Caenorhabditis elegans: one gene and its partners. The protein of the gene in region 3 interacts with the protein of the main gene of each other region in a pairwise test. Each region holds a gene or a part of one and is shown on either strand. Other genes may lie near its edges. The genes, in order: clik-1, gpi-1, abu-11 and arle-14.

Region 1 (5,157 bases), on a different chromosome or scaffold from region 3:
AATAATTAATCCGCGTATATGTAGAAGTTATTCAGTATTTCACGAAGAGTTAACTTATAATTTTGGAGTGCATATAATTAGATTGTGAGCATTTTTAATGATGAGATGGAAAAGTTTTCAGTGATATCGGGTTGCTATATGAACAAAGAGCAAAAAACAAATGTGAGTACTTTACGAGTATTCCAAGAAGCTACTTGGTTATATACTTTGGTCGATGTTATTTTGGAATACTTAAATACGAAAAAACAACACGGAATTAAAATAAAAACCTAATACATAGAAAGAATATTTTTGTTTGACTTCCAACATTATTACAGGTGAAAACTGAGTTTTTACAGCTTTTTGACTACAAACAAATATATTATAGCATTCTATTAAATAGTGATATTTTGTGTTTTAGACCTTTAAACTACAAGTCATTAAGAAAAATTAAAAGTAAACCCACCAATAAACCAAATAAATACAGAATTATAGCTTTAATCTCCCCTTATTTTAAGTTTTTTTTTTCAATTCCAGAAAATTCGATGCAATCAGATTCATTTTCTAATCTCGGCAAAACTAAATTGAAGTTAAAGTAACACATGGATGAAAGGCAAGGCTCATAGTTTTATTATAGTACAATCTCAAAAAAATTGTAAGAATTCAAAAAAAAAATAATTCAAAGAAAAAAGGATATAAAAAGCATGTGGGTGGAGATGATGGTTTTTTGGATGGATTTGAATGGAAGATGTAATTACCACATACGACGGACATACTCTCCGCGGACGTCACGTGGAGTACCGAAGGCAGTCATACCGGTCTGAAATTGTTTTGAGAATTAGTTGGAGCATAAACAAGAAATAATATTTTACCTGGTTAGCATGATCAGCCTCCTTCTGTCCTGTCCAGAAAGGAACATCCGGTCGGCGGGCGATATCAGCTGGCAGATCCTCGTGAGTATCGTCAGTGAATGGAGTGTACACCTGTCTTGGCTGTCCGAATCCGGTCTTTCCGGCTTGTGATTCGAGGAAGTTGACTCCCATCTGGTATGGAATCATTCCCTGTGATCGTTGGTCTTGAGCCTGCATGAAGGCGACGGTGTTGTTACGGAAGGCTCCGAATCCGGTCATACCGGCTTGCGAAGCTCCCTCCTTCCATCCAGAGGTCTGTCTTGAAAGGGTTCCTTCGTCGTGTGGCATGTCTCCGCGAACCTCGTCCTTGTACCTAGAATATGTTTAATTTTATAAAAGCGTTATATAGAAGTGTAAGTTCCAAATAGTATAAAAAATAAATTTATGAATTGGAAAAAAATAGTTTTTAGTTAAGTTTATGTTCTTACAAATTCAATTCCAATAGTAAGCCTCTATTCTGAGCACATTAAAAAACTCTAAAACTATTTCAATCGTGCCAGATGTTCCAAATACTTATTAGAAAATGTTCAGGCAACCTAACAAGGCTGTAATCCTATTTCACCAGAAACCAAATTTCAAAAAATCTTACTTGGTGATGTTGTGACGTGGCATACCGAATCCGGTCATACCAGCTTGGTTGGCAAACTTGTTGGTTCCCATCTGAAGGTGAATGAATCCTTGCGAGTCACGATCCTGGTCGTTGGTCCTTCTCACTGAAAATGCCAATTCATAAACTTTATACAATTATTCTCTGTTGTATACCTACCATCAACAATACGTGGCATTCCGATTCCGGTCATTCCAGCTTGAGATGCGAGCTTGTTGGTTCCAGATTGAAGTGGAACGATTCCATCGGAAGCACGTGCCTTCTCTTCTGGAACTTCTGAAGCTCCTCCGGTTCCCTTGGTCTTGTAGTTGACATCACGAACAGCTCCGAAGCCTAGAAAAAACAAGCAGTTTAAAATAATTTTGAAGGTTCAGATCTTACCGGACTGTCCCTTTTGGGAAGCGAATTTGTTGGTTCCGGACTGAAGCCAGGTGGATCCCTTGAGGTTGGCAATCTTCTTCTCGTCAGTGATTTCAGCCAAGTTATCAGACTTAACTTTGTCGATGACGTCACGGGGAACTCCGAATCCGGTCATTCCCTTCTGGGAAGCATACTTGTTAGATCCAGCTTGAATTGGGATAATTCCCTCGGATCTCATCAACTTTTCCTTGGTGTGGATGGTTGATGGCTTTCCAGATGAGTAGTTTTGTTGCCTAAAATTTAACAAAATAATTACTTTTCCTCGAAGTATTCAGTAAAATTCTTACTTTCTCAAAACACTCTGTGGAATGCTTGGAGTGAAGTTGACTTGTTGTCTTCCTGGTGTTGGACTCTTGAGAGACGCTGGTGGAGCAGCAGCTCTTGGGGAGGCAGCGGCCGGAGCCGGAGCTTCCTCCTCGGCCTCTGGCTCTTCAGCCTATAAATGTTCAATAAAACTCGTGTAAACTGAATGTTCATTTATCTATCAAATCTATATCTCACTACCATTATCATTCATTGTCAAACTAGAATCGAAAATTGCGCCGAATGGCGTCAAAGTTGTGTAATGCGGGAAAATAGTGAGAAGAATGCGGAGGTTAGGTGAGCAGTTTGGGGAGCTCCCTCACTTTACAACGGTGCCATCGGTAGAATGACAAAGGCATCGATGAGGAAAATATTTTCGAACTGGGAACTTTGGAACTAGGTAAGAACAAGATTTGAAAAGATACAAAACACATCAAGAGAAAAAAAAATAGGTGGGGGAGGTTGAAAAATAGTAAATCTCAATAGTAAATAGTAAAATAGTAAAGTCTAGTTCCAAAACGGTTACACTAACGAAGGACTTTTTTTACAAAAATTTAAGTTTACGAAGTGGATCTAATTTCAGAATAGAATAGTGGTGAATGCCATAGGGCTTAAAAATGCCTACCAGCTTGTGTGTAGGCATAACTCGCCGGAGAAACCTACGCCTACTTTGCAGTGAAATAATTTCAAAATTGTAATAGTTATAATTTACTCGCGGCAAAGTAAACTTAAGTCAAGTAAAAATACGCTTGCATTTTTGGCACGTAAGTCGGCATTTTTAAAGTTTTGTAGAAAAATACGGTCAAAATGGAATAAACACCACGATAGTGATAATTATTAGAAATATGAAGAGAATAAAAAAAATTTAAAGCCGAAAAATGGCAAAAAACGATTACCTCTGGCTCTTGGTTCTCGTCGGCGACTGGCTCGTCCTCCTCGATCTCCTCCTCATCTTCGTACTCGTCTTCGACGTCAGACATGATTGAAAATGCGATGTAGTAGTGATACGAGACCTAAACACGTCCCAGAATGAGGGCCAACTTGGGAGTGCCTTCGACGATCGCTCAAAGTAGGTGGGCGGAGTCTGCCACATCCTTCCCGACGGCAACGGTGGCGGCGGCGGGAGGAAAAGATATCGAAATCGAGAGAGACGTCGCCCACAATCAACCAGGAGGCATCTTCCCGAATGTAATATTCTTGGAATCTCTTGACTTCTCGGCGTGTTTCGTCGATGCTCACCAAGTCTTCGTCTCCGACGGAAGTGTAATGTTTCGACGATGGGATCGGCAGAAGAAGACGGGAAGGAAGAAGTGAGCTCTCTCCCGTGGATGAATGTGGTTCGGGGGCAGCTATGTAGACTTGGCATGAGAGTAAAAGAGGAGCAAAACAAGTGGATAGAGAAGAAGAACAGATAAAGAAGAAAAATGTTAGAAGAGCGATAATCTACGAAGGATTCCAGATCGAGTGAGAACAGATGCCAATCTAGATGAAATGTGGCATGCCGAGCGGAACAAAAAATACATGAAAACTCAGGGAATCCCTCGAAAATCCTATAATATTTCTATCTAGATGTAAGATGGAGGGTGTTATATGTAAATTTTGTGGTGTTTTGGTTTCGTAATTGAGATTTTTACAGGACAGAATATAAATATTGCAAGAATTACGTGATTTTTCAGAACTAGAAATTCCACCCAAGAGGGGCGTAATGATATCTACTTAATACCATCTCATTTCAACAAATTTTAGAATGCAAAACAAACACATTTAGAAAAGTCAATAATTACAGTATTAAAAGCTCTACATCATTTTAAAAATTGCCTATACCGCCTGAAGGCATGCTCAAGCTGAACGAATGCTCAAACAGTGTATTAGACGTAGTTAGTTAATTTTTTGTCTATAGGTTTTCCAAAATGTTGAGTTATTGTTGTTGTGGTTTCTTTTTTCATGTTTTCTGTTTTTCTTTCTATTACATACGTTTTTTTCTGTGTTGCTCCCCTTTCCCTTGCTGATCACACAATACTCGATCCCTGTCACTTAAGACTTTTACCCCCTTCTTCCCTCATCTCCTCTTGCTCTTCTCTGCTTTTTTGAGAGATCTTCTCGTTGTACAACACGCGGCTAAAACATGTGCATTCAATTTCTTTGTCAGCCGCAAAACGAGAAGTTTTTATTGGGATAACGTGGATTGTAAATCGTCTTCATCGTTGCGGAAAAGTGAGGGTGGAGAAAAAGTGATGAAACAAACAAATAAATGAGAATTGAATGTGCGTTTTTTTTTGTCATTTGATTTTTCAAGTTATTGAACAATTGAAGACAGTGTATGCACTTTGTTGCTTGATGAGTGTCGAGAACACGTCACACAGTTTATGACTGAAAAAAGATATTTCCAGGTATGATACGGTAGAAAGTTTTGTTACCCCATAACAGCTGTGCTTTCATCGTGCTGCGAAATGGCTTGTTGGATAACAGGTGAACTAGCGTGGTAGCTGCTCCATGACATAAGCCGAATATAAGAGATGCTGGGATTATCCCTGAAAATCAATAGATTTTTTACAAATGTTCCATCTTTCAGAATTGCTCTATTCGAATCAAACTTCTGATCAATTGATTTTAACCACTTAACAAAAATATTCGGGCAGAAAGCACATCAGCTAAAAAAATTATGATCGATTTGTTTAAACAATTTTTAAAATTTTCATAATATTATGAGTTTGACTGAAAGTGAGTGGAAAAACAAACCGGATAGCATTAATTCACATATGTCGATTGAAATCGATGTGCAGCAAAAACAGATGAATTTTAACACGGAACTGATAACCTAATATGTAAACAAATTTAGCTCTATTATTGCATAAAAGTTGCAAATAGAAATTTAATCATTCACGTAACCAAGCCGCGCACAAACCAGAAACTTACTTGGATCCGTAATCAAATTTG
Region 2 (7,486 bases), on a different chromosome or scaffold from region 3:
TTAATTCTGTGAAATTCTGAAAAATCAGTCAAAAATTTAACTCTTCAGGGAAAAATATTAAAAATTCAAATTTCTTTTTATTTTTTTAAACTAAAATTTTTAGTGTAAAACCACAAAATATCGTTTTTATTACGAAAAAAATGGGTGAGGCTAGGAAATGTGTAGTTTGTAGTCGCTGAGCCTCAACCATCAATAATTACCTTTATACTCTGTCATCAACCGCTTCAAAGCGTAACCAGCCATTATCGAGAGAAGCTGGAAAATTGCAAATGTTGAATTTTTGAGTAAAAACTTGAGGAAATGAAAATAATTAGGGTGTTTTAACCTCAAAAATCCAGAAAAAAATTTTAAAAATTAAATATTTGAAGAAAAATGCAATCTATTTTATATAGTACATGAGTTAAAACGGGTGCGTGGGAGGAACTGGGTGGGGAATACTGACCAAATTTCAACTAAAAAAGTGGCTACAGGCGGTGCAAAATGACTAGCAAAATCTCCTTTTTTTGGGGATTTCCATATAAATTATGCGTTATTCTTAATGAACGCGATGAGTCCATTGGTTGAGGCATCATGTGAGGTTACTGTATCCGCTGATGCCAATTCCGGTTGAATAACCTTTGCCAATTGCTTTCCGAGCTCAACTCTGTAAGAAAATTGATAATAGATCGATAATAAAATTGGTTGAGGCTGTCAGTCACACTACAAACTACAATTTTTGTTAGCCTCACCAAAAATATTTAAAATCAAGAAATTACGATAAAATCTAAAATGCCACGTGGATAACAGGGTTTTTCGAAATACCGGCTTAATTTCAGACTATAAACTACATTTTTTAATTCAATTAATTTTCAAAAACCGGAAACAGTACACCACGTGGATTGTAGAAACCCTATAACTAATGTCTTTTTTGAATTTCGAAAATTGGTTGAGGCTGTCACACTACAAACTACAATTATTGTTAGCCTCAACCAATTTTGAAACAGTCTTTAAAAGCCAAAATGCCATGTGAATATTAAAATTTTCAACTACATTCCGTAAATATCTAATTCTGGAATAGTAATCCAAACTTTTTTCCGACTTCGGGCCTGACTACAAACTACAACAATTCTCTGAGCCTCAACGAATCAGAAAATTCACGTGGATTTCAATTTGGATACACACGTGTGTTGTCAGAGTGTCTCATTTCGGTTTGATCTTCGGTAGATCTACAGAAAATGCGGGAGAAGAGACGCATAGTCCTCAACTGATTTTGCATGGTTTTTTCCCGAATTTTTTGTAGATCAAACCGTAATAGGACAGCCTGACACCACGTGGAAACATCGATTTTTGTAGTTTGTAGTGTGCATATGCAACACACACGTACCCCCATTGATCATAACTGCAAATATCCCAAATAATTCCCTGAACAAAGATCTTGTGCTCATAAAAAGCGATCAATGCTCCCAATGTGAATGGTGTGACAACTGGAAGTACAATAGAAGTTGTCGGTTTATTTCCTTCGAACACTTTATGTGGAAGAATCTTTGCAATCGATTCAGGGCTCATTCCAGATGATTTCAGCTCGGCTTCTGCCACGGCGGCAGTCTTTCCTTTCATTAGTGCCTCGGTTTGAGCGAGGAAGTTGGCGAGAAGAATCTGTAAATTTAATTCATTAGACTACAAACTACAAAAAAAACCGGAAATTACTTTTTCTATTTTTATTGGGAACCAAAAAAATCTCTCCTTTTTCCGAATTCTCAACAATTGAACGTTTTCAGCAAAAATTATTTTTTGGCTGAAAAATCAAAATGGGCAAAAATAAAAAGTTGTCTAAATTCATTGAAAACGGGTAATTCATATATGCAGAATTCAGAGAAACTAGGTATAACCCGTCAAAAAACATTAGAAAGTGGCAAAAATGGGTAATTTATGGCAAAAATTCACAATTTTGGTACTTCTCTAAAATGGTTCAAAAAAATTTGAGTTTTTCCTTTTCAGAAAAGTTCCAATCTTTCAAGAGAGGTTTTTTTCACATAAAAATGAACATTTTTCGTTAAAAAATTTTGAAAAAATCTAACATATTCGTTTTTTCGCTTACTTCTGAAAAAGTATATTAAAATTTGAATTTTCAAAAAAAAAATTCGTTTTTCAAAAAAATCTAAAATTCTTATTTTTCCATTATTTTCAAAAAAAATTAGAATTCTCGTTTTTTTAAAAACATTTCTTTTAAAAAACGAAAAATTTCCCATCACGTGGCATAAAAAGCACCAAAAATCCGTCATTTTTGTAGTTTGTAGTCTCTCACTCAAAATGCGGGTATCCACGTGGCATTTTTTTTCGGAAAATCGGAAATAAAAAAAATGTTTTATCCGATTTTCCGATATTTTGTTTTAAAAAAATCGGGTTTTCCCACAAAATTGGTTTATTTGTAGTTTGTAGCCCCTCAGCCTCACTCAAAATCCGGGGTTTTTTTTTTTTTATTTCAAAAAATAAAATCGAAATTTTTTGTTTTTTTTTCGATTAGTTCTCTACAAAACCTAAAACTGTTCGTCCTTGGAGAATCCACGTAGGACCAGTAGTTTTTTGTAGTTTGTAGCCTCTCAGCCTCACTGAAATCTACCTGATGATGCAATCCCCCACGAATCGGATTCAACGTCTTAACCGGAGCAATAAAATCCGCTGGAATCAGTCGAGTACCCTGATGAATCAACTGATAAAATGCGTGTTGTCCATTAGTTCCAGGTTCTCCCCAAACAATTGGTCCAGTCGAATAGTCGACACGTTGTCCGTGACGTGTCACAAATTTCCCGTTACTCTCCATATCTCCCTGTTGGAAATATGCGGCGAATCGATGCATATATTGATCATAAGGAAGAAGAGCATGAGTCTCAGCACCATAGATATTATTATAGAGTACACCAATCATTGCAAGAATAACTGGAATATTCTTTTCCAATGGAGTATTCACAAAATGCTCATCAACAGAAAATGCACCATCGAGAAGCTTCTCATAGTTATCGAATCCAATATGAACAGCAATTGATAGTCCAATAGCTGACCAAAGGGAATATCGCCCACCAACCCAATCCCAGAACTCAAACATATTCTTCTCATCAATTCCGAATTCAACAGCTTTCGTAACATTCGTTGAAAGTGCGACAAAGTGCTTAGCAACTGCTCCAGCATCTCCGGCTTTTGCCAAAAACCATTCTTTCGCTGTTTCAGCATTAGTGATTGTTTCTTGAGTTGTGAATGTCTTTGATGCAATGATGAACAGTGTTGTTTCGGCGTTGAGCTTCTTTGTGACCTCTGCCACGTGGGTTCCGTCGACGTTCGACACGAAGTGCACATTCGGTCCGATTTGGTAGTTTTTCAGCGATTCGGTGACCATGAGTGGTCCTAGATCTGATCCTCCGATTCCGATGTTCACAACGTCGGTGATTTTTTTTCCGGTGTAACCAGTCCATGAGCCTGAAATATGATTGGATGAGGTTTACACTACAAACTACATAATTTTGCCACGAAAGAAGTGATTTTTTAGAAGACTAATTAGAAAAAATTAGAGTTTTTCAGACAAAAATAACAAAAATTTCAATTTTTCAAAAAAAATAACGTTGGATTTTCTCAAAATTCTGAATTTTCACTATTTTGGTTGAGGCTCAGACACTACAAACTACAAAAATCCTTTCAGCCTCACTCAAAATTCAAAATTTTAAATATTTTGGTTGAGGCTCACACTACAAACTACAAAAATCTATTAGCCTCACTCAAAATTCTAAATTTTTACTATTTTTGGTTGAGGCTCACACTACAAACTACAAAAATCTATTAGCCTCACTCAAAATTCTAAATTTTTACTATTTTTGGTTGAGGCTCAGAGACTACAAACTACCAAAAAACTGAGCCTCTACCAACAAACTCGGTGTTGTTTTTTGTGATTTTTTGGAGTTTCGGGCTTCAAATCGCTGAGAATTTCGAAAAATAAGCGAAATTTAGCCAAATTCATGGAATTATAATTTTAAAAGCGTGGCAAAATGTTTAGAAATCCACGTGTCATCTTTACAAAAACTAACCCGAAATAATCTCATTGCAAAACTCTTTCATATGAGCCAAAACTCGATTAACATCAGGCATGACGTCCTTTCCGTCGACCAAGATTGGCCGATTGGCACGATTACGGAGTGCCACGTGGAGAACCGCACGATTTTCGGTGAAATTGATCTTTTCGGCGGAGAACATGGCATTACGGGACTCCTCGACACCACGTGACTTGGCGAGACGCATCAGAAGTTGGAATGACTCGTCAGTGATACGATTCTTTGAGAAATCAAACAGGAAATCGCCATCTGGAGTTGCGAAGAGGCGGCTGAAATAAAAATTCCAAATTATTTGGGTATATTTCTGGCTTTTTTTTGGGAAAATTTGGCTAGATTGCAGCAAAAAACAGCGTTCTACGTGGATTTTGAGTATTTCCAGATTTGGTGAGGCTCAGATCAAATTGTAGTTTGTAGCCTCTGAGCCTCAACCAATTTTATCACTCAAAAATCAACTTTTTTCGTGAATTTCTGTAAATTCTAGAATATATGAGGCTCAAGATAAGCTCAACCAACCTGTTCAACCGGAAATCCACGAATTTTCAGAAAAATTCAGGTATTTCCAGATTTGGTGAGGCTCAGAGCAAATTGTAGTTTGTAGCCTGCGCCTCAACCAACTTTGCCGCACCAAAAAACACGTGGATTGCAGTAAAAATACACTTTTTTCGTGAAATTCAGCGTATTTCAAGGATGGATAAGGCTCAGGATAAGATCAACCAACTTGTCCAAAAGAAAATCCACGTATTTGCAGAAAAATTCAGGTATTTCCAGATTTGGTGAGGCTCAGAGCAAATTGTAGTTTGTAGCCTGCGCCTCAACCACCATTATCGCACCGAAAATCACGTGGATTGCAGTAAAAATCAACTTTTTCGTGAATTTCTATAATAGTTGAGGCTCAGAATTTCTTGTAGTTTGTAGTATCAGCCTGATTGGTCAAATTATCCACGTGGGTTGCAGCGAAAATCTACTTTTTTAAGTTGATTCCTGTGAATTTTCAAGTTTAGTGAGGCTCAGAATTTATTGTAGTTTGTAGTGTGAGCCTCAACCACGTGGATTTTAGCAAAAATCAGGCATTTTTTCACATTTTTAGTTGCGGAAACTCACGTAAATTTCTCGAATCTAGCTGGATCCTTCTCGAAAAGCTCCAAAAGTTGAGCATCCTTCTCGTTGGCCTCCACGTGGCGTTTCAGCTCAACAAATGTGGCGTCTTGAGACAGAGACATGGCTGAAAAACGAAAAATTTGAGGGAAAATCACGGAAAAATTGCTGCAGAGCTTTGTTGAATACGTGCAGAATGCAAAAAAAACAACAACACGCACACACTCTGACGCAATTATTGATTTTTTTTTGCTTCGACGGGGGGATGAGAGAGGAGCAGAGAAGTTGAGGAACGTGTGGTTATAACCAATTTTCGGGAACTTTTTCGCAGAGATTTGCATTAAAAAGCTTATTTAAAAGCAGTTTTCCAGTTTAAAACATTAAATCATACCTTTTTCGGTGGAATCTCCGATGAAAAGCGTGCCAATTAGGTCAGAAAGGTAGCCGAGCATTTTTTTTTTGCGAAAAATGAAGCGAAAAAGCTCGAAAATCATCGAAACATTTGGGAAAAATCAAATATTCCCGGTTAAAACTGTAAAACTACGGTAGCTCTTTAAAGGTGCACGCGCAAAAATGCAAAACTTTACAAGTCTAGAATTTCAAGTAACTCTTCTTTAAATTATACACACGAAATTTCGTTCAAAATGATTAAAATTTCCAATCGAAAATTTGAATGGCGTGTTCTCTAACTATAAGCGCCGAACCACGCCATAATTCAGGGAGTAAACCGAAATATATAATAAACAAATCGTAAACATCAATGAACAAGGAGAGAAAAATCGATATTTTTGCGCATTTTCCTGTGATCAAACGACACGGGAAAACACTTGTTGTTTCTTTTTATTCTGATTTTTTACCCTAATACCTGATGATGATTTGAAAGTGAAAGTCGCTGTACATTGCTGACAAATTGGTTGAGGCTACAAACTACACATTTTTGTCAGCCTCAACCAACAGGCCACGTGGAAAGTGAAAAACTAATTTGTTTTTCATTAAACAAATTAATTTTTTTGCAAAACTGGAATATTCTGTTAAAAACGACACGAAAATCGGGGTTATGCAATGAAAATTTCCCTGAAAAAAAGTATTCAGCTGAATGGAAAATCCACTTGACAAATAAAATATTACAAGTCAAGGCACAGCTAGAAACATATTACATTTTGAAACAGAAACCAGTGAAAAAAGGGAGTGCGAATATTACAGGAAAACCGGTTTTGGGGTGAGAATTTTGAGAAAAATACATGGCAAATAAGAAATATTTTTAAAAATCGTTAGTTAAAAAACGCTTCGCGTCCATAACGATCGTACAGCTTTTCATAGTCCTCTATGCTCATTCCAGGCATCTCGAAATCGGCTCCGGCGAAGACGACGAGCTCCAGAAGCTGCTTGATGGCCACCTTATTAATCATTTTTACAGGGTAGAGCTGGCACAAAGAGCAAATTAGTTTGATTTGTTGGTCGAGGTACAGTTGCTCGCTGAGCTTGATACGTTCGTCGTCGGGCTCATCGAATTGGAGGATCTGAGAAAAAAAACAACTTGAAATTTATAATTTGGTGAGGCTCAGCGCGGTTTGTAGTTTGTAGTGTCTGAGCCTCAGCCATAATTTTTCAAGTGTTTTTTTTGTGAAAAACCGTACGAAAACGTGTTGTCATTCAATTTTCGGCAATTTAAAAAGAATTTTCATGATTTTTTTCACAAAAATTCCAATGTTTGACGATTTTGATTTAAAAAAAAAACGCTTTTTAGAGCGAATATAATGAAATTTGACAGATTTTATCTAAAATTTCGAATTCACATTTCTAAAATCGAGTTTTAGTGCACTTTTCCAGTGAAAACTGCATTTTGACAGAAAAATTCATAATTTGTTGAGGCTCGGCGCGATTTGTAGTTTGTAGTGTCTGAGCCTCAACTATCAATTTCCAGTTAATAATAAAAGTGTTTTAAAAACCATTTTTCAAGTGTTTAAATTGTTTGAAAGCGTGTTTTTATACATTTTCGGCAATTTGAGAATAATTTTCACAATTTTTCCTTAAAAAATGCCACATTTTGGCGTTTTTCAATTAAAAAAAATCCCCGAAAATTGATAATTCGGTGAGGCTCAGCGCGATTTGTAGTTTGTAGTGTGTGATCCATTCTTACCCGATCCGACGAAATAACCGTATACGTCTTCTCTCCAGGCTTTCTATACCGAATTGTTGGATCTAAAACCAATAACCGGTCTTCTGCATTCAAAAAGCACGGCGTAATGATCCTTCCCGACGGTTTTGAATAATTTATTTTCATTTTTCTCTGGCGATAATCCTCTGATGACACA
Region 3 (4,201 bases):
CCTTGATCTTTTGTAGAACTGCTCATTCACAGCATCTAATCCCCCCACACGTCTTAACATAATTAGCATTCCTACATTAGCTACTACATGTGTTGATTATTTGTCTAACAAGATAGAGATAGTGTATACATACTTCCGCTCTCATAAAGACCGGTCATTTTCCGTGCTCATTCTCACTCTCGCAATGTTCTTCCCACACCCTTGATCCTAAGGAAACATGCTCCTCAAGAATAATCTCTTGAAAAGCGTGAGCGATTGTGGTAACAAAAAATCATGAGTATCAATGAAAACAATTCAACGGAATTTGGATTTGGGTGGGTGTGAAGGCGCTGTAAAAAAATGTAATATGAATTTAAGACCTCTATCTGCAAAAAGGTACAATGTAATTTTACAAAGTATTCAAGGTTTCCCTTGAAATAATTTTATAAAAACATTCGTACTAAATATCGAAAACTGCACCAAAACTATTTGCCGAGTGGATTTATCAGTTTCCCGCAATATTGGCAAGACTATCAGGTTATATGATATGATATTAGTATGAGTGCACCTCCACAAGAGTAAAGATGCAATGACTAAGATCAAAAAATTCCATTCCGCTTTGAGCACAAAAAAGATTCAGCGCTGGTAAACTAGTTCTCACCAAGTTTAGAACATCAAACAATTGACGCAATTTGTAGGTCATAGACTGGCAGGTTTTTGATGTTTTACATGACAAGTTTGAGAATAATGAAAGCAATCTTCATACATTTTAATAACTTTTTAAAGAGTTTTTAACTGATATCTTCCTAGAGCAACAAAAACAGCTTATATTTGCAAACATAACCATTTAAAGTTGAAAATGATACTTTTGCCATTGGGTTTTGAATTTGTCAAAATCTTGTTATTAATTTATTTTACTCATGTAGTTTCTAGAAAACATGTCATTCGTCCTGAAACCCCATGGAGCATACGTTATTGTCCTGTCAGAATGTTATTACGTAATATATTACTCATGACATTTACACCATATACAAAAATCTATTTATTTGCAAATATGTTCCATGATTATTTTCTGAGCAACAACAATTATATCATAGTCTAGACTTCACAGGGATAATTAATGTTGTTGGGAAGAAAAGTAAGAACTTTAGAAATGGTGATTGACCGAGTGAACTCTCAAATATCTATTTTTGTCTTTGTAATAACTCTATGAGTAATGAGGAATGAGGAACTGAATTTGTGACTGCAAATTAATCAGAAAGATTATTTAAAGAAGAAAGATATTTTGCTGTAGTTTGTGATGGCTGCTGAAAGACCACCGGAAGACTTTTGACATCGACCAAGTCCTGAAAGATCACGTCCCTCCAGTTCTTCAACTGTAACCCTTGTGAATACTAGAAAGTAAAAAACAAAAAAATAACAACATGTCAACATAACAACACGCCCTCCCCCTCTTGCTCTGCTCTTCCAAACACATGAGCACACACACACACAGGCACACGCAAAAAATTTGGAGACGCATCACTCGAAGAAACCGGAATTTGGGACAGAGGTGGTAGTAGAGGAGAGGGGGCGATGTTTAACTGATTGCAACGGGAAGATATATAAGCAAGAGCATGTATTGGGACAATCATCACTCACTCTGACAAGCTTGAAATGAACACCAAATTTTCAATTCTCTTTTCGCTTTTGGCGGTTTCAGCACTTGCGGTGGCTGCTGAGGAGAATGTGGTATGTATTATTTTTATGAATCTAATTATAAATATTTCATTTGTTCCCCTTTTCTAACTCTTATATTATAAATACTTATTTTTTAATTTTAAAACATTTCGTGCTCACTCACAAGCAATTGCATAACTTGAATATGAATTAAGTAAAATATAGGAACTTCTTAATATATGTTTCAAATAGTTTATCGTTTGACTTCATTATTTTACTACTGAAAATTTAGCAACAGGGGAGTATTTTGAGCTGCAAAAAAGTCGTTCTGAAAAGTTTTCAATGAATTTTTCACAACTTTCGAACTATCGAGGGCAGTAAAAATGTGCCAAGTGTGAATTTTTGCTGACTTTCAAGAGCTTCTAGCATGTTTAGGAGCTGGCTAACAATCGTAAATTTTTTTGGAATTTTTAATTTTTTGAAAAAATCTGAAATTTTTTCACTCAAGGGGTTTTTCTGATTTTCAATTTTACGGGCTTCTAAAGTAATAAAAAAAATACACTAATAGCAACTTCAGATCGAAATTTTTCTAGTTCTAAGTTCTCCTCTGCCGCTTAATTTTTTTTGCAAGGGCCTATTTAGAAGGTTTTTTGCAAATGAGATATTATCCAGAAGACTAAAAAATTAAGTTGAAAAATTAAGTCGTTCCTTTTTCAGTTCCTCCGCGCTCGTCGCCAATCTTCATGTGGATGCGCCATTCCAGCTGCTCCACAATGCAACTGCCAACCAGCTCAAACCAACACCGCCCAACAATCTTGCTCCTGCGCTCAAGCTCAACAGCCATCAAGCTGCGGATGCGCTCAACAGTATCAGCAACAACAGTGTGCACCAACTTGTCAGAGCTCCTGTGAACAGAGCTGTGTTGCCCAGCAACAGGTTAGTCAAACCAAATTCAACCCAGTTAGCCATTTCATATTATTTAAGCCAATCGCCCAGTGCCAATCATCTTGCTCTTCCACTTGCCAGTCCGCATGCGCTCAGCCAGTTCAGCTTCAGCAGCCAGCTCAGCAACAGTGCCAACAAGATTGTCAAGCTGCTTGCCCACAACAACAACAACCACAGCAACAGTGCCAGCAGCAATGCCAGACGACATGTCAATCCGATGATCAGTACTCTCAACAATTGATCCAACAGCAAACCTACGCTCAGCCAGGACAAATCCCAGCCTACACCGGAAGATCCGAGTACAATACTGCCCCACCACAACAGCAACAAGCCAGTCAATGCAATACCTGCCAAAACTCGTGCCTTAACACATGCCAGCAGCAACAGCAGCCAGTGCAACAGTGCCAATCATCATGTGATCAATCGTGCCAGCCACAATGTGCCACGCCATCTGGCTCCGCTTACAACCAAGTCAACTACCAGCCACAGGCCCAGAACAACTACCAAACCAACAACAACTACCAACAGCCAGGAGCCATTCCATCATACCAAGGAGCTTCCCAGACTGCTGCACCAACCTACCAGCCATACAGAGACACCAATGTTCAGGTAACATATTAATAGTATTACTTCTAAATCTAGATTTAAAGAAATCCAACCTAAATTTGTAGGTCGGAGGAACCATCTCCCAGTGCAACACTTGCCAAACCCAGTGCAACCAGGAATGCCAAGTCCAGCAGACCCCAGTGAACCAGTGCGCTCCACAATGCGACGCTCAATGCCAGCCAGCCTGCTCCCCAGCTGCTCCAGCAGCTCCAGTTCAAACGCAACAACAAATTCAGCTTACCATCAATGTTCCAGTTGCTCGTCAGTCCCCACAGTGTCAGCCACAATGTGAGCAAAGCTGCAACACCCAATGCATTCAGCAACAGCAACCAATCTCGCAGTGTCAGCCAGCTTGTCAGCAGAGTTGTTCGGCTTCCTGCAGAAAGTAAATTAACTTTAATTATTAATTTTTGGGAAAAAATAACTTTGTGATGGTTTTTTGTGTATATTTTGATAAATAAATTGTTTTCTACATATGTTCATCTCCTGCATCATACATCTTCACTAAATATTTTATCATTATTATTCCCTCTTGGGATGATAATTACAGAGAAATTTCTAGAATAGAAAAATTTATGAATCATTCAGTCATGTAAATTTTAGCTTTCAATCTCTATAATCTGCGGAACATCTATCTTCTTTTTTTTCTTTTCCACTCAATTTCTGAAACTGAAGTTTTACCACAAAAGCTAAACCCACCAATTACGTGTTATATTTGAAAAGCGGTAAGAAACTTAAAATAATGAACGGTCATCAAGGGTGTTACCTGCGTCAATAAGGGTTTTCGGTGTTTAATTCCAGTCTTTTGGGAATATTAGTTGTTATAGATTTTGACACAAAAAACCTCCACGCAATAATAATTAAACATTTCGTACATAAATCCTGCGTGTGAAACTTTTTGAAAAATTTTATTAGACAAAATGTTTTATTCATATCATATCTCAATTTAAATATCTCGAAAATCGTCGTTGGTTTCCACATCGAGGCCTCTGACACTGTTCATGGTCCTTGA
Region 4 (3,426 bases), on a different chromosome or scaffold from region 3:
TGGTAGATCATCCATATCATCTTGTGTTGGCATTCGACTTGACATTCCAGTGAGCAAAGAATTTGGTGGAGGTGGAAGATCATGTCGGTTCACCGTTGATTTTCGAATAGTTCCATAATTTTGTTGTTGCATTTGTTGTTGTTGTTGTTGTTGTACCACACTTCCCGGTGCAACATATCCAGTATAATTCATAGCTGGTGGTGGAAGTGGGAATGTTGGTGATTCTGGACCTCCAGCACTACTTTGTGCAGATGATAGTCTGGGAATAGAAAAGCTACCATCCACTGTAGTCCGACCACCAGCTCGAATAGTTCCGTAACGATCAGGTTGATAAATGGAATTATAGTCTGATGATCCGTGTTGACTTCCGCTTCCACCACCACCGCTCATATGATCTCCGAACTCTGATCCGTGGCTCATTTGACGGCCGATTCGTGATTCTGATTGTGGTGTGACCTGTAAAAAGTAATCGGATTATGTTAGAAAAAACTTGATTAATTTTTTGAAAAGGAAATGAGCTGATTTTTTAAAAATTAGTTGTTTAGTCTGAAGTCGACAAAAACTAGCCTGAAACATTGAATTTCATAAAAAGACTTCTAAAAAATTTCAAAATTAATTATGTGATTATTCAATAAATACTGTATCTAACTGCTGTAACAAGGATTTCAGATTCTTATTCAGGCTCGCTCTAAATTTTTTTTCGATATTTTCAGAAGTCTCATTATGAAATGCGGTCGTTTTGGGTCAAAAAAACCGTTTTTTGAATAAATTTATCAATGGTTCACTTTTTTTTCAATATTGAGTGTATTTTTCAGAAAAAAAAGTTTAAAATTTAAAATGTATAAGTTATGTCAGAATTTTTCGCTCCCTTTTTTTTTTGAAAACGTTTTGTCAAAAACACGAAAAGCAAATTATTTTCAGCCTCTATGAATATTTCAAATGTTCACCTGTGGCAACCGATAATCCGATGGAGCAATTGATGGAGCATACGGTCTCATTGTTCTTCCTAACGTAGCCGTTCGTTCACCAGCATAAACTCCATACGCTGGAGATTCATTGTGAAATTGTGATGGAGAACTGCCAGAAATTGATGAAGTTGCTCTTGAGATTGGTGCTGCTCTCGGTGGATCCGATGTTCTGACACCATGCCCTATTCCGTCAAGAACAGAAAAATCGATGGGCGTTCGTTGATATCTCTGCTTTTCATCTGGGATTGCTGGTGCAATGATTTTGGGTTGCTTGAATAATGTTTTATTGGTTGTGAGAGAACCAATTTCTCGTCTTGCAAGCTTCTCTTTATGTACATCAACTACTTGGCTAACATATTGAACTTGATTTGTTAAAGAGTTCACTTTATCGGTTTGTAGAGCAAGCATATCGTGTAAATCTCTGAAAAAAAGATTCATAATTAAAACAAATTAATTGAAATACTTACGTAACCATCTTGTTAATCTGGTAGGCTACGCTGGCGAGTGCCTGGATCGCGAATTTCTTGGATTCCTCTAGCGCAGCAGATTTATTCTGAAAACGTTTAATTCATAAACTTAAAAGAAAAAATTAAACCACACGTTTGATTGTATATAATTATCCTCACAATACGCGGCAACTTGTTGAAGATTCGCATGACTCGTTTCCAGTTGAGCTCGATTATCGGGTATCCGTCGCTCGATGAGCTCTTGAAGATCATTAACACTCATTCCGCCTTCCCCATTATGTAGCATCTGTAACAAACTAAAAGTTAACTAACGTTTAGAAAAATATTTTAAAAATAATAAATTGACAGCAGAAATTTCATGAAAAACACTCAAAGGAACTGAATGAATAAGAAATTAATGAGGGCGTGGTCACAGAATGCAACGCGCGGCGCGCTTTTTCGCAAGTGGTACGCACATGTTATTTCCCGCGAGGAGAGCATATCGAATAATAGAATTTCCTCGGATATATTCAAATTAAATCGATATAAATCATATTTCCTACTAAATTTCTGAACCAATAATTCTAAAAATGAGCTCCAATGACGTTCTCGCACAAATTGCCGGTCTGGCGAAAGCTGCAGCAGAGGTTTGAAATTTGAAATTTTAATGTATTTAATTTTTGTATTTTTTTCAGCTTGAAAATGATTTCTCGACGGATAGTGAAATGCAACAAGATTCCGAGATTTGCGATGAAGTCGATGCGGAGCTTTTTGACGATTTCGAAACAAAGGTACGCTTTTGAATAAAGAAAATTTTAACAAAGTTCCCAGAAGTTGCAGCCATCATCTCGAAAGGAAAGTTCAGGAACGAGCCGTCGAACGAGAATGGCACACCGAGAGCTTCAAGGCCTCCAGTTCGCGAATCCAGGAGATGAAATGTCTCGATTTTTGCCCGACTCTGTGGATATTATTAGCACCAACCGCTCGAAACGTGTAGCCGCGGAGAAGCAGGCGGATCTGAGAGACGAACCTTTGCATCATGACAAAACAGGAAAACTTTCGGTTACCGCAAAAGGACAGACTTTGTTTTTCGATCTTTGTGATTGTCTCGTGGTGGAGTGTGATGGGTGCCATTGGCCATGTAAGCAGTGCAAATGTAAGAGATGATATTCATTAACTAAAAATATTTGTTCTAAAAATTCTTTAAACAAAGAAAAATGCATTTTTCAGCTCGCAAATGTCTCATCGGATGTCGTCAAAATCGAAAAGAAATGGTGATACGCGTCGAGGAGATGTACACAGTGACGGAAGCCCCGGGCCCTGTTGTCAATATTAATCCTTATTTTCCGGGCCAAATCAAGGATTAAATGCCTTATCGTTTTATCAATTTTAACCTCTTATGTATGTTCCCCTTTTTCTTGTACTGGTATTATCTATTTTGAACTGTTTTATACATGTCTTTGTGAAAAATTCAATCTCGATGTTCATTAAAAACTAAAGATATTGTTTGTTTTTGTTCTTTTTTGTCATACTAATCCATAGTTTCTCGGTTGATAATCTGAAAATATATCTGGCATCTTCTCGAGAAAAATTTAATCCAACGATATTTCAGAATCTTCCAGAAATGTCGTCATACGCTCTTTACCGAGGGACCACACTGGGTCAGGCACTCGATAAAACTCTTGAGGACATGGAATCCGAAGGACTTCTCACGAAATCTCTTGCTTCGAAAGTTCTGCAACAATTTGATAAAAGCATGAACAAGCAAATCTCGCGGCTTCCAAAAGAGAAAATGAATTTTTGTGCGACACAACTGCTCACTTATCGATATTGTGATAACGTTTGGACGTTTATTCTCAATAATGTCACGTTGAAAGATCCCCAGCGATCGTTTGATGAGCCTATTGATAAGTGAGTGTTTCTTTTATTTGTATTAAAAATAAAAAATCTAGAAAAAAGCAATTGTTTATTAATTTTCTATAAAAATTTTTGTTTCTCGATGATCTATAATT

The links.
Region 1: the proteins of abu-11 (region 3) and clik-1 interact in a two-hybrid assay, tested with the Caenorhabditis elegans proteins (one large-scale study listed by BioGRID).
Region 2: the proteins of abu-11 (region 3) and gpi-1 interact in a two-hybrid assay, tested with the Caenorhabditis elegans proteins (one large-scale study listed by BioGRID).
Region 4: the proteins of abu-11 (region 3) and arle-14 interact in a two-hybrid assay, tested with the Caenorhabditis elegans proteins (one large-scale study listed by BioGRID).

What each region holds. Positions count from the first base shown.
Region 1 is NC_003283.11:6,765,253-6,770,409, forward strand, and holds clik-1 (Calponin-like protein OV9M), read right to left. Parts: upstream 3,250-5,157; 5' UTR 3,201-3,249; coding exon 3,117-3,200; intron 2,354-3,116; coding exon 2,205-2,353; intron 2,151-2,204; coding exon 1,879-2,150; intron 1,831-1,878; coding exon 1,657-1,830; intron 1,604-1,656; coding exon 1,480-1,603; intron 1,204-1,479; coding exon 852-1,203; intron 800-851; coding exon 734-799; 3' UTR 516-733; downstream 1-515. Other genes in the region: T25F10.1 (uncharacterized protein), read left to right, coding at 3,250-3,534; srh-30 (Serpentine Receptor, class T), read right to left, coding at 4,517-4,590, 4,638-4,751, 5,137-5,157.
Region 2 is NC_003279.8:13,574,467-13,581,952, reverse strand, and holds gpi-1 (Glucose-6-phosphate isomerase), read right to left. Parts: upstream 5,806-7,486; 5' UTR 5,666-5,805; coding exon 5,563-5,665; intron 5,299-5,562; coding exon 5,178-5,298; intron 4,346-5,177; coding exon 4,053-4,345; intron 3,451-4,052; coding exon 2,600-3,450; intron 1,636-2,599; coding exon 1,364-1,635; intron 644-1,363; coding exon 523-643; downstream 1-522. Other genes in the region: ubc-14 (Ubiquitin-conjugating enzyme E2 G2), read right to left, coding at 201-243; nyn-2 (Zc3h12a-like Ribonuclease NYN domain-containing protein), read right to left, coding at 6,443-6,691, 7,312-7,486.
Region 3 is NC_003280.10:191,969-196,169, reverse strand, and holds abu-11 (Activated in Blocked Unfolded protein response), read left to right. Parts: upstream 1-1,611; 5' UTR 1,612-1,635; coding exon 1,636-1,710; intron 1,711-2,355; coding exon 2,356-2,574; intron 2,575-2,622; coding exon 2,623-3,192; intron 3,193-3,254; coding exon 3,255-3,578; 3' UTR 3,579-3,661; downstream 3,662-4,201. Other genes in the region: T01D1.8 (ZP domain-containing protein), read right to left, coding at 4,131-4,201.
Region 4 is NC_003281.10:5,691,010-5,694,435, forward strand, and holds arle-14 (ARF7 effector protein C-terminal domain-containing protein), read left to right. Parts: upstream 1-1,940; 5' UTR 1,941-2,004; coding exon 2,005-2,061; intron 2,062-2,109; coding exon 2,110-2,205; intron 2,206-2,245; coding exon 2,246-2,570; intron 2,571-2,644; coding exon 2,645-2,781; 3' UTR 2,782-2,926; downstream 2,927-3,426. Other genes in the region: abi-1 (SH3 domain-containing protein), read right to left, coding at 1-456, 948-1,389, 1,436-1,521, 1,569-1,697; B0336.13 (Transcription initiation factor IIA small chain homolog), read left to right, coding at 3,039-3,325.